Caenorhabditis elegans: one gene and its partner. The protein of the gene in region 2 interacts with the protein of the main gene of each other region in a pairwise test. Each region holds a gene or a part of one and is shown on either strand. Other genes may lie near its edges.

What was found.
Region 1: the proteins of klf-3 (region 2) and Y51H4A.8 interact in a two-hybrid assay, tested with the Caenorhabditis elegans proteins (one large-scale study listed by BioGRID).

What each region holds. Positions count from the first base shown.
Region 1 is NC_003282.8:16,575,273-16,581,552, forward strand, and holds the start of Y51H4A.8 (DUF4136 domain-containing protein), read right to left. Parts: upstream 3,278-6,280; 5' UTR 3,244-3,277; coding exon 3,034-3,243; intron 2,938-3,033; exon of another isoform or gene 2,917-2,937; intron 2,731-2,916; exon of another isoform or gene 2,709-2,730; intron 2,486-2,708; exon of another isoform or gene 2,462-2,485; intron 2,239-2,461; exon of another isoform or gene 2,217-2,238; intron 2,116-2,216; exon of another isoform or gene 2,034-2,115; intron 501-2,033; exon of another isoform or gene 480-500; intron 357-479; exon of another isoform or gene 336-356; intron 227-335; coding exon 1-226.
Region 2 is NC_003280.10:6,615,173-6,621,452, reverse strand, and holds the start of klf-3 (Kruppel-like factor 3), read right to left. Parts: upstream 3,236-6,280; 5' UTR 3,176-3,235; coding exon 3,134-3,175; intron 2,069-3,133; coding exon of another isoform or gene 2,045-2,068; coding exon 1,978-2,044; intron 1,934-1,977; coding exon 1,492-1,933; intron 943-1,491; exon of another isoform or gene 808-942; intron 22-807; coding exon 1-21.

The DNA.
Region 1 (6,280 bases), on a different chromosome or scaffold from region 2:
GAACGGTCAAAGGGACAACAAACGGACTTTTCGCGTATTTTCCATCGGTTCCAGCCTTCGCTGCACACTTATAGTAGACTGTGGATTGTTGTAGAACACCGTAACCCGCGGTGTCGGCGGTGCACTCGGTTACTGTAGTAAGTGTGACGTTTGGAGGCGAGAATGTGATGACTGGTGGGTTTATGTCGTTTAGGGGGATACTGTTGGCTTGCAATACGTCGTTGATCTGAATTTTTTGAATTTTTAAACTTTTTTGGTATTGTATAGTGTTTTTAGTGTTTTAGCGCTCTACTTGGTTCCATTATTATACAAGTTTTGAGCAGATAATTTTTTTTGGTTCGTATGGACAAATTTTAGCAAGCTCTCCGAAATATAATCTGGTAAATGAAATATTTGAAACAGTTTTTTTTTGATAATGGGTATAAATACTTTGTGGCTTATTTTGAAACTTAATGTTTCAGACTTATTTATCTTTAAAAAAGAATTCAAAAGATCGACAAACGAATTAATTTTATACAACCTGAAAAATGAAATATTTGAAACAGTTTTTTTTTATTGATAATGGGTATAAATATCAGGTTGTCCCATAAGTTTTTGTACTATTTTTTTTTTTGAAAAAAATTTATTTCTCTCAAGCGACAAGTAGTACTATTCACACAAGTATTCACCATTAGTGTCCACCACTTGTTGCCATTTACTAGGTAACATCATGATGCCACGGGAGAAGAAATCCGGCGAACGCGATGAGAAGAAAGTGGAGAGTTCAGTTTTGAGATGCTCTTCGTCGTCGAATTGCTTGTCGCGCATGTAGTCACTGAGAGACAAGAACAAATGGTAGTCGGTTGGTGCAAGATCTGGAGAATATGGTGGATGCGGTAAAACAGTCCAACCAAGATCTTGCAGCTTTTGGAAAGTCTTCTTGGCGACATGAGGCATAGCATTATCGTGAAGAAAATATAGTTTTTCATATTTTCCGTTGGTCTTTTCTGCAACTCGGTCCAATTGGGCACAATAGTAATCAGCAGTGATAGTTTTATTAGTTGGCAACAATTCCCAGTGCACGGGTCCTTGAACACCCCACCAGACACAGATCATTATCTTTTTTGGGTGAAGATCAGGCTTTGGCGTCGGTATTCCTTTCTCACCGATCGGAAGCCATTGACGTTTTCTGGAATGGTTAACATAGAGCACCCACTTCTCATCTCCAGTAACCAGATTGTTCAGCCAATCGAACTTTCGACGAAAAGTTAGAAGTTGAGTACAAACGTTGACCCGAGTGAGCTTCTGTGATGCCGAAAGTTCATGAGGCACCCAAATTCCAAGTTTTGAAGTAAAACCAAGGCGACCCAAGTGACGTGCAATTGTGCTATGACAACACTCAAGCTTCTCTTCCATTTCACGAAGACTAAGACGAGGCTCTTCCTCCACCAGCTTCACTAGGTCTTCTTCATTTAACTCTACCGGTCGCCCAGAACGTTCTATTTCTTCGAGACTGAAGTCGCCGTTCTTGAACTTTTGAAACCAACTCTTTGCTGTATTATAAGAGAGTGCTCCCTCACCCATCGCACCGCATATGTTTCGTTCCGCTTTCATTGCTGAATGACCAAGACGAAATTCATAAAGAAGAAGCAATCTAACGTCTCGACGTTCAAGTTTGATGATTGTCATCGTGGCAAAGTAGAAATGGATGAAATGAATCTTTTCTGGAAGGGGACGACCCGACCTTGACACGACCTACGATGAAAAAATTTTAAAACTTTCTAGAAGTTTTGGAAAAATATTTGAAAAAAAGTACAAAAACTTATGGGACAACCTGATACTTTGTGGTTTATTTCAAAAATTAATGTTTCAGATTGTTATCTCTAAAAAAAATAATTCAAAAGTGATAACAAAATAGATTTAGTGGTAGGTAGACACATCTCTAGGCTCTTCTCTTTCAGCATACTTTTTTCAGTCATTTCTCCGCTCAAAATGTGCGAACAACACAGCCATTTGCGGTAACGAAAACACCCCAACCAGCTCTCCGAAACCGGGCTGCGATGTCCGAGCGGTTAAGGAGTTGGACTTGAAATCCAATGGGCATTGCCCGCGTAGGTTCAAATCCTGCTCGCAGCGAATACTTTTTGGAAAATATTCCGAATTAAATCTACAGGCTTTTAAATAAATTTTTTAACTCATTGACCGCGCACCTAGTATGTCGCTTTTGAGTGATTTATCAGTTTCTAGGAGAGAACAGAATTATTTCGATTATTTGCAATTGGCTATATCAGTATAGTGAAACAGTGAGAATTTTTTGTGTTAACACAATGAAAATAGAAAGATTGTAATATAATCATGCATTTGTACTATAGAATATAACATGTTTCTACAAAATAAATTTTCAATAAAACGTAAAAATTTTATTTGTAAAAAAGTATGTTTTATAATATTCTTATTAGCTCACTGTTATCTTACTAGGGAGTGTTTCAACTCTACGGTGCCTAAAAAGTTATTATTATTGTTTTCGTCAAAAAAAAAATTGCCTCCGAATTTTATGGCCCACTTATGGGTTTTTTTTCAATTATTGTAGAGATTGGAATATGCTATACTTTTCTTTAAAAGTGGCAAAAACGTAGTAATTGGCACTTTTCGAAAAAAAAAAGAAAATTTCAATAAAATTTTTAATGTTTCAAAAGTATTTCATTAAACTTTTTATGAATCGCTTTTTATTGAATAGGCTGGCTTGATGGAAATTAAGAAAATATATGGCTTTTCATCAAAACTAGACTAGAATTTATAAAGCTTCTGAGAATTTCAAATTTTTTTCAAATAATAATGCAACCGTTAAACATTATGCGATGTGTTGCCATTTCACATTCTTTTATAAATTTGGCAAAATTATCCACCACCATAGTTGGACATTTAATAATTGGACTTTTAATAAATGCAATTATACGAACTCCAAAGAAAACTGTAGCTGTTCATAAAAATTTTGTGAAACAGTAGAAATTTTTTCTGTATTGGGATTTTTATTTAAAATTGCATTTAACTCACCGCACTCTGCACATCCGACACCACAACTCGCTGAGCATAGGCTTGATCAAACTGTCCGTTTTCAAATTCTGCTAGAGAATCATAGGTGTATAGAGCAGGAGGGTTCATTTCATAGCTGAATGTTCCCTTGGAGCCCAGCGTTCCGGTACCCGGAGCACAGGCTCCGGCTGTGGAGATGAAAAAGCAGAGGAGCAGTAGAATTTTAAGCATTTTGAAGGTTCAAATCACAAAAGTTAAAAGTGAAGTTTAAACCTTACCTCAATCCTTTTTTATACCGTTTCCTTAACCTTTGCCCCACAATAGCTTATGTTTGTTTCGATTTGCCAAAAATGTTTATATTTGTCATAGTTATGGCATCATTTTATTACTGATTGTTAACACTTTTTCTTGTGGGTGGGTGTGCCAACAGTAAGAATAGGTAAAGCATACTAAGCGGGGGTAAAAGGGAACTCGTAAAAATTTGAAACCCAAAGATCGAAAAATTGTCAAACAGCCGTTACTAAAATTTGTTTGAAGGCTGAAACTGAATTTTTTTTTTGTTGCAAATTTTGAAGATTTTGTTCCTGGATTCGATTTGAAAACTTTAAATACAATGAAAATCCAAAAATAGGTGGAGCCTATTATTGATTATACTTTTATCGGAAGCTTCTGGTTTAATTTTAAATTGTTTTACACGTTTGAAAGCGGATCACTATCAGAAATAGATCAAAATGTGATGAAAAGTTTTATACGCACGCGGTGAAACGGTAAATTTCGAAATTCAGATTTTTCGATTTCTTATCAATTTTTAAAGTCATTGATGGAGGAGTAGCGCCAGTGGGGATATCATTTAAAAAAACACTCCAAAAAACTCAAATTTTTTACAACTTCCAGTCAAAGTTTTGGCAAAAAAAATTGTAGGAAGTTTTTTTTTGATCGACTTATAAAATTATGAGTGGCAAAATTTGAGTAATAGTCACTTTTTACAGTGAATTTTTAAAAATCCAATTTTTTTTCAAAAAGTTTTACCTTTAAAAAAATGTAGATGCTTTCTTTTAAACCATTGTGTTACTATTAGATTTTTTTCCTATAACAAGACAGTTTTCTGTAAAAACCACCATAGTCACTATTCCAACTTAAGAGGTTTTGCTTACATTTGACTACTTCTGGCAGATATTAATTTCCTGGTTACGTTTCAATTTTTTTAATTACCAAAATACAATTTGAGCGTATGAATAAAACCCAATTTACAAAGAGTATAATAAAAGCATGTTGAAACAATAAAAATTTTAGAAAATTTTTTTTTTCCGAAAAGCGCCAATTATTAAGTTTTTGCCACTTTTAAAGAAAACTATCCCTAAAATAATTGAATATTACCGTTTGAAACATAAAATTCGGAGGAAAACATTTTTTTTTCAACGATTTCCAAATAAGTGCCTAACAGAATGGTTGCCATTTTTGAAATAAAATAAACAACATTTTCAAAAAAAGTTTTGAATAGTTTTACTTTTTTTGAATTTAATGTTTTAAATTAATTGTTTTGAATCATATCATTGAAATTTTAAGATCTTTCTCATGAAAAAGTTCTGAAATAATAACTAAAATATCAGTGACGCAATATAAATATTGTGAAACATAATTTTTATAAGTACAATTTTTCTGTAGAATTGTTGTATTCCATAGTACAAATCATGATTATATTTGCCTTACAACCATTCTCGCTACATTGTGTTAACACAAAAAATTTCTGACTGTGTCACTATGCTGATATAGGCAACTGCAAATAATCTGAATGGACACGATTTAAAAATATTTTTTATTTAAAACAATTTCAAATAACTGATAAATCGATTTAACGCAATAGGTTAATGTTCGGTGCGGTCACTACTCCAACTTAAGAGATTTTGCCCAAATTTGATTATTAGGTCGTTCAATAAGTTTTTTCGTTTTTTTCTAGTTTTGGTTTTTTCTTGGATAATATTTTGCGGTTGTATAGAAGACTGTTAGTAATAACAAGCCCAACAATATCAGCCATATCGGTCAACTTCCAGATTATTTAAAACTCAGAACTATGATGACGAAAAAAAAATTTTTTTTCGAATTTTTTCATTTCTTTGTGAAATCAAAAACTTTGTATGCGTAGAGGTATAAGACAGTTAGTTAAACAAAACTAAAACATTTCAGAACCAGGCATAGCTTATTGGTAGCGCTACATCTGTTGGAAGTGTCGAAAACGCTTGCAAAATTGACTTTTTCATGTTTGAGCGGTGCTAACTTTTAAACCATGAGAGATATACAAAAGTAATGTATCACAGCATTAATGTACACATCATCAGCTACATTTTATCAGTATGTTACATTGTTGTCCCTCCTCACGTTTCTGAGTTACAGTCGATAGAAATGAGCTTGGTCCAATTTTCAAAAAACCCTAATTTTTCACGTTTTCGCCTGTAACTCCGAAATCAGGTGCCTGATTAAAAAACTTCAAATTAAAAATAAAGTGATTTTAAATTATAATCAGGTACACAGTTGACCGTTTTGTCATATCATATGTGGGCAAAGATATGAACGGTCAACAAACAAAAAATGCATGATCGAAAAAATATAGAAAAATATTGCAAAAAACTGTTTTACTCTTTCCGAAAAGAACATGAGCGTTTAAAAACACATTTAATATTTTGATTACTAATTAGGCTATCATAATCAAAAAACAGTTAGAGGTTATCTTGTAAAAAAAACTGTTGGATTTTTTTTCGATGTTTTTTTTTGAAAATTTTCTAAAATTTCCGCAACTTTTCTTTGACAATTCATATCTTTGCCCACATATGAGATATGACAAAACGGTCAACTGTGAACCCGATTATAATTTAAAATCACTTAATTTTTAATTTGAAGTTTTTAATTAGACGCCTGATTTCGGAGTTACAGGCGAAAACGTGAAAATTAGGGTTTTTTGAAAATTGGACCAAGCTCACTTCTATCAACTGTAACTCAGAAACGTGAGGAGGGACAACAATGTAACATACTGATAAAATGTAGCTGATGATGTGTACATTAATGTTGTAATACATTACTTTTGTATATCTCTCATGGTTTAAAAGTTAGCACTGCTTAAACATAAAAAAGTCAATTTTGCAAGCGTTTTAGGCACTTTAAACAGATGTAGCGCTACCAATAAGCTATGCCTGAGTCTGAAATTTTTCAGTTTTGTTTAACTAACTGTCTTATACCTCTACGCATACAAAGTATTTGATTTCACAAAGAAATG
Region 2 (6,280 bases):
AGTTCGCCGTTGTGCGGTAGTCTGTAATCGAATTCATTGATGATCAGAGATGATTGAAGAAGATGAAAAAAGAAGCGTGGTGATGACAAGCAGCAATGCTGTGTTGTTTGTTGCGCGGGGGTGATAAATAATGCAACATGAAGTGTGACCCTGAGATGGTAGATCTACAAAATTCTTCATTTTTTGATTACATTCCGAACTGGGAGGTAGAGTTTCATATGCAAACTTGAATAAATGTACATAGTTCTTAAAATTTAGAAAAAGTTATCAGAAGGGTACCGTATTTTCTCTTTTTTTACAATATACAACTTTTTACAATATAAAAAATCATGAAATCCCTTGAAGTATATAATTTGTTAGAACTTCTAAGTATTTTTTATTCAACAATAAACGTTGTTTTCTCTCATCATCATTGACTTCCCACCAAAAAGATAACTTGATTGATTATCTGTGATTGTATTCTTTTGTGGAACGCGCGAAACAAGCGGCCCCCGCTAAGCTGATCGTTGACCGTGTCGAAAGCAGCGCCACCGCAGTCATTTTCCGATCGAAAAGAAGTATTATGTCAACAAACATGGAAACTGTTAGCAGGCGCCGCGGGGGTGGCAGAAATAGAGTGTTTAGGGGTGACTAATCTTGGTAAAATAACTGGATTTCCAATTTATTCGGAACATTTTTGAGAAAGTTGAGCAATTTAACAATTTACTCAAGAAATGACGTGGCAGGATATATCAATCCCTTTACGTTTGACTAAACTAAACACTTGTCCAAAATATCTGATTTCAATTGAATTTCCTTGTTGCTTTTTGTTAGAACTAGACGGTCGGTGCGGTAATTTGCCGCAAAAGAAAGTGGTACTAGACCACCTACTGTGAGCCTGTGACGCCCGCGCACGCATCCAAATGCACTAATTTGCATGACAAGGTAACTGTTTTTAGAACTTTTGGCAAAGCCTTCCTTCAACTATTCATCTTTTCATATTGCCGCCAAGATTGAAGTGAAAGCAAAAAGACCGAATAATTCCGAAATTGCTTTTGATTTATTTGGTTGTAAACAGCTAATCGATTTGGAATGTTTGACGCACGCATATCCCTTAGCCTTTTTGTTTCCCGGTTTTTTGTATTGTTTCGCGCATTTTATCAAAACGGATATCTCGTCCGGTGGGCAACTTATGAAACACTTATCACAATAGTTTTCCTAATGGAAGAAGGAAAAAACAAGAATACGGTAGACAAGATATGACGTTATGGCAGAAATTATAACATAAACAGAACTGATAGAAAAATAAATTAATTGAGAGAATGAATTTTTTTGCATGAATCTTTGAACGAAATGGATTCTAAAGAAGTTTATGATTGTAATAGCTAAAGATTAGGGATTGATCAGAAAATGGAATATAATTCAATAATTTTTCAGTGTGTGCATTGCGATCGAGTGTTATTTATTTGGACTAACGCTTTTGAACCAAAATTCTATTTTTAAGAAACTTACGGATGCATGGGAATCTCCATTTTGATGGCAGGTAACTGTGATGCAAGTGGACCAAACGAATTTTCTGGACTTGATGGTGGTGTTTCGATTTTATGAGTTGGTGGAGTCATCGAATGAAGTGTCACTGCAGAAACAGTTGTCACTTCCGTATAATATGGTGGATTTCTATCTGAGGTCGTTGGTACATCATAAGGGTTACAAATGATGTGTGGAGGATAGTAGACCTCTGGATACGTTTCATAACTTGGAGGTGCATGAGGTGGGCTGTAGCTCGGAACTTGTTGAACTGGAGGTGGATGCGGGGAGAATGGAGCTTGGAAATGGGGTGTTGGTGGAAGAAGCATCCTTGGAGGCTCTCGGCCAGGTACATGAATAGGTGCAAATTGCTTTGCTCCTGGATTTGGTGTTATGAGAGGAGAGAATGCGAGGCGTCGTTCAATCGCTAAAAATTCTTCAAATTTCAAAAGAAATTATCGACAAATTTACCTTCAATTGCCGGAACATTTTTTCTGCTCGAGTCCCTTTCAATGAATTCGTAGACATCAGCCCAGTCCTGAAAAATGTTTGGCGATGTCATTTTTGCTTTGGACGAAAGGGGGAGAGAAAAAATTCAAATTGCGGGAGAGGAATCTCAAAAATGTTAAAATCACTTTTGAAAGGTTCCTTTTTCATTCTGCGTCTATTTATTATGTTCTTGTCTGTCTATGTCTCTTAATTTTTCCATTTATTCTTCTAAAAAAACCAGTGCCATTAATTAATACACCGTCTTCACTCTCTTTCGGTATCCATCCTCTCTCGACAAGACCATCGAAATGTCTGTTACTCTCTGGATATTGCGCACTGTCTTCCAATGATTATCACCATTGATTAGCCTTCTTTTTGACAGGGTGGAAACCCCAACAAAAATGGAAGCAGACAACACGCAACATACACAAAGTGATATTTCGATGATGATGATGATGAGGAGAAAAAGTCTTCGGACGGACGGACGGAGGAAAAAAAGAAAAGAAAAAGTGTTCTGAATAGGACCTAGTCGAATGAGTCAGAGCCCCATCTATTGTACGTAATTTATATGCGTGTAAGGGTATACCTATGGGCTAAAAAAAAGAAAACAATATTTTTGTATGTTTGTATGTGTAACTATATTTTCGTAATAAATAATTGTACGTCAGAAACGGAAATGAAAATGATGATAATTACAATAATTAGGTAAATATTTATCCGATAATTGGAAAAAGAGATTATGTTCAGAAACACAGCACTCACGAATTTTTAGTGTCCTCTCATATAAACAGATTGTGAAGAAAAGGATATTTTAAAAATTTCGAAAAAAAATGCATTGGTAAAATGCTTTAAATTTTTTTATAAGGTTTTCCCTTTTCGCAATTTTCAAACCAGCATTTCGAAAATTTTCAAACCAGCATTCGAAAAAATTGTACTATAATATTTTCGGATAAAGAGAATGAGAATACAGAATTCAAAAAAAAATATGGGAGACCATGCTGAATGAAAAACTATTTTCGAGTTTCTAAACCAAAGAAAAATTGAGATGAAGCAATGTGACGAAATCAAGGAAATCAATTAGGAGTCGATCAGAACTTCATTTTACTAATTAAATTTTTTTTGCAGAAAAAACACTCACTTCTTCATATCTTGGAGGTGCACTTTGTTCCATTTTCAGCATTTCTTCGAATGGATCGACTCCAGATTGATACTGTATAATGAAATCAAACCAGTGTGTCAGCTGCAAAAAATTGAGCAATTTGGCTGTTCATATTTCAATGAGCAAAGTGAAAATAGTGTAGGAGAAAGAAAAGAAAAGCAAGAAAAACTGTGTTTGTGTGTGTTTACTCTATTGAAAAGAAATGATTGAACAGTGCAAGAGAAAATGCAAGAGAGGAGAAAACGAGAGGCTTAAAGGAAATATAGGTTAGCAGCATCAGCAGAGTGCACTTTCACAGGTAAAAATCATGATCCAGAAGGTCCAAGTGTCTTCAAAAGACATTTGGAGGCGTGGGACGACTGCAGCCAACACTCCGACCGACTGCAACCCAATCGCTGATCAAACTCCGCCCATTTATTTCTGGGGGCAGTCGTTGAGGGAAGTGGAGGAGAACGATGAGAGAAAATGGTTTATGATCGTCTGTTTTTGGGTACTTTTTAATTTGATATTATTTTTATCAAGTTGGAAAAAAGTGAGGAGGTTCTTAATTGTATCAAGTTAAAAAGATCAATTTGGAATAGTTTTAAACAGGACCCCTCGAGGGGATCTATGCATGCTCTTAAGGCAGTAGAAATTTGGTATGATTGAAAGCTACAAGAAAAACCTTTTTTGTTTTATGCACACAGATTTCTACCCACAGACAAAAAAGTTCAGTAAAAGTGCCTAGATTAGCTGCAAATGTACAGTATTACTTCACCCCGGTGTCGATCAAAACAATAAATCTTGCAACTGGTGATGTTTTATCACAACCAATTGAGAAAGACCTATTGAACAAAATGATGAGGGTTTTCAATTATGTCTTGTAACTTTTTGGTGGTCACAGAGTTTTGCAAAATTATTTTCTGAGGCAAATGCTGATATGAAATCAACAAAGGCAGAAGGGTTGACGAACAGTAATTCAATTGTGGAATATTGAGCTCACAAAACATAATAGTTTGAATTTAATTTTTTGGGTCAAACTTAAAAAATTCCGAGACTGACCAGCAAGTAGCAACCACAAAAAATGTAACCATATCATCTTTATTAGTTTAAGTTAACATGTACCATGAAATATAACAAAATGTTTAGGAAATCTAAGTGTGAAAAGCGAAGATAGAGGCACTAGCTTCAAGGTATGAATATATCCGATAATATTGTTCCTAACACCATATCTTTTCAATACTTCCGTTTTTAGAATTAAAACGATTTTTGACCATTATCATCTTGTAAAAAGTGGCAAAATCACTTCGAATCAGTCAAGTGATTACCTCAAAAGATTTCGCTTTCCGCCGATGCCGACAACTAGTGGTGCCCTCCGATGCCAATGAATTAGTGGCAGAATCGGTTCAAAATGGAAACGAAGCGAGCGAGACCACCACCATATTCTCTGAATTAAAAACGACACAAAAAAGTGATGGTATGATTTAGGAGGGGGAGAGAGGAGAAAAAGTCATGTTCAATCATATCATATAATCAATTACGACTTCTTCTCCTTTTTGTTGCTTCGTCTCTTCGACACGTCCACTCAAAAGAAGTATTGCTGAATTTTTGGACACATACAAAAAACAAGAATCCATTGGCATGAGAGTATTCGAAGAATGACACCAACTTTTTTTGCATTTTTCTAAATGAATTTCTCAAAGAATTCTCAGAGAATTAGGTGCCGCTTTAACTACTGATTATGCTATTACAACAAAAAAAAAGATGCAACAACAATGAGTGCTTTCTGATGATCATAGGTCAATTTTTACACAGAGGTACATATATTTCTACAGTAACCCATTCTTGAAGAACATGATTTTTTGGAATTTCCTAATTGCTGCAAATAATGAAACAAATTGCATACTCGTGCGTAACTACCAAATCAGATTACAATTCAAAGCTGATAAAAAGTGAATGTTCGGAAGTGTGCATCATTGCTCTCTTCTTGATTTTTATAATCTCCGAAGGGCAACGCCTATTATTGTCAATGATAAGACATTTATTGCCACTGTCCAGCAGAGCACAGTTTTCCCGGAATAAAAATTCCAAAAATGTGTGATTAGCAATATTCTAACCTAGCGTTAATTTTATATCGCGGTGTTTCCGGAAAAGGAGTTTTAAAAATATACAACTCCTTAAAAAAAAGTATTTCTCTACAACCTTTGACATCTACATGGCTCAGCTCGTTTTTAAAGTTATAACAAAATACAAAATTAAAAATTAAAGAAAATAGGATTTTTTTGAATCGAATTACAGATTTCAAAAAAAAATCGCGTTAAACTAGTGGAGCCTAAGAAACCAGGTTTTGTGATCAGACAATTTAGAAACCTAGGTTTTAGGTTATATGACATTAAATATTTCGAAAATCAAGATAAAAAACAAACAAAATGTCCGACAACGCAGGTGGCACTGTTCATTTAAAGAGAAAGTGCAAGAATCACGCGCGACCGCACCCAAAAACAGTCGAGTGAATCATGAAAACGGATAGGGATAAGAAAAGAAACACAGGTGATGTGGACGATCTCTGGGAGGTATCAACTAAAAATAGGAAAGGAACTGAACTGTAAAAAAATCTTTCGAAACTTAGACATCGTAGATAATTAAATTGTAAATCACAATCATCGAATTCCGGGTTATTTTGCAGGAGACTCATCACATTGGAATGAGACTGGCTATCAACAAATTTCATAAAAATATATACAAAAAGCAACTCAAAATGGCTCGTTTTGCTTCATACAAGAGTCTTCGTTTCTGTTATCACTTGTTATCGGTTTAGTTAAACACGCTTTCAATGCAGCACAACGCGCTTTTTCCCAAAATGGTCACTTTCTTGGTTGCTTTTATCAGCATTCGATGTCTCACTTTTCTTCGTTTGGCATACTGTCTCACTCTCGAATCGTTTACGTAAAGGGCAGAGATGATGTCAATTTGAGCTGAAAACTAGGCGATGGCGTGGGAGGATTCAGGATGACGGAAAATGGAAATAAGTCAGTTGAACTTGAAACTTTTTCGCAAAATTTTGACATATGGGATTCGATACGGTAACAAACTTCTTGGTAGTACAAATACACAACTAATTTGTATGATATGAAGAGACTGGCAAAC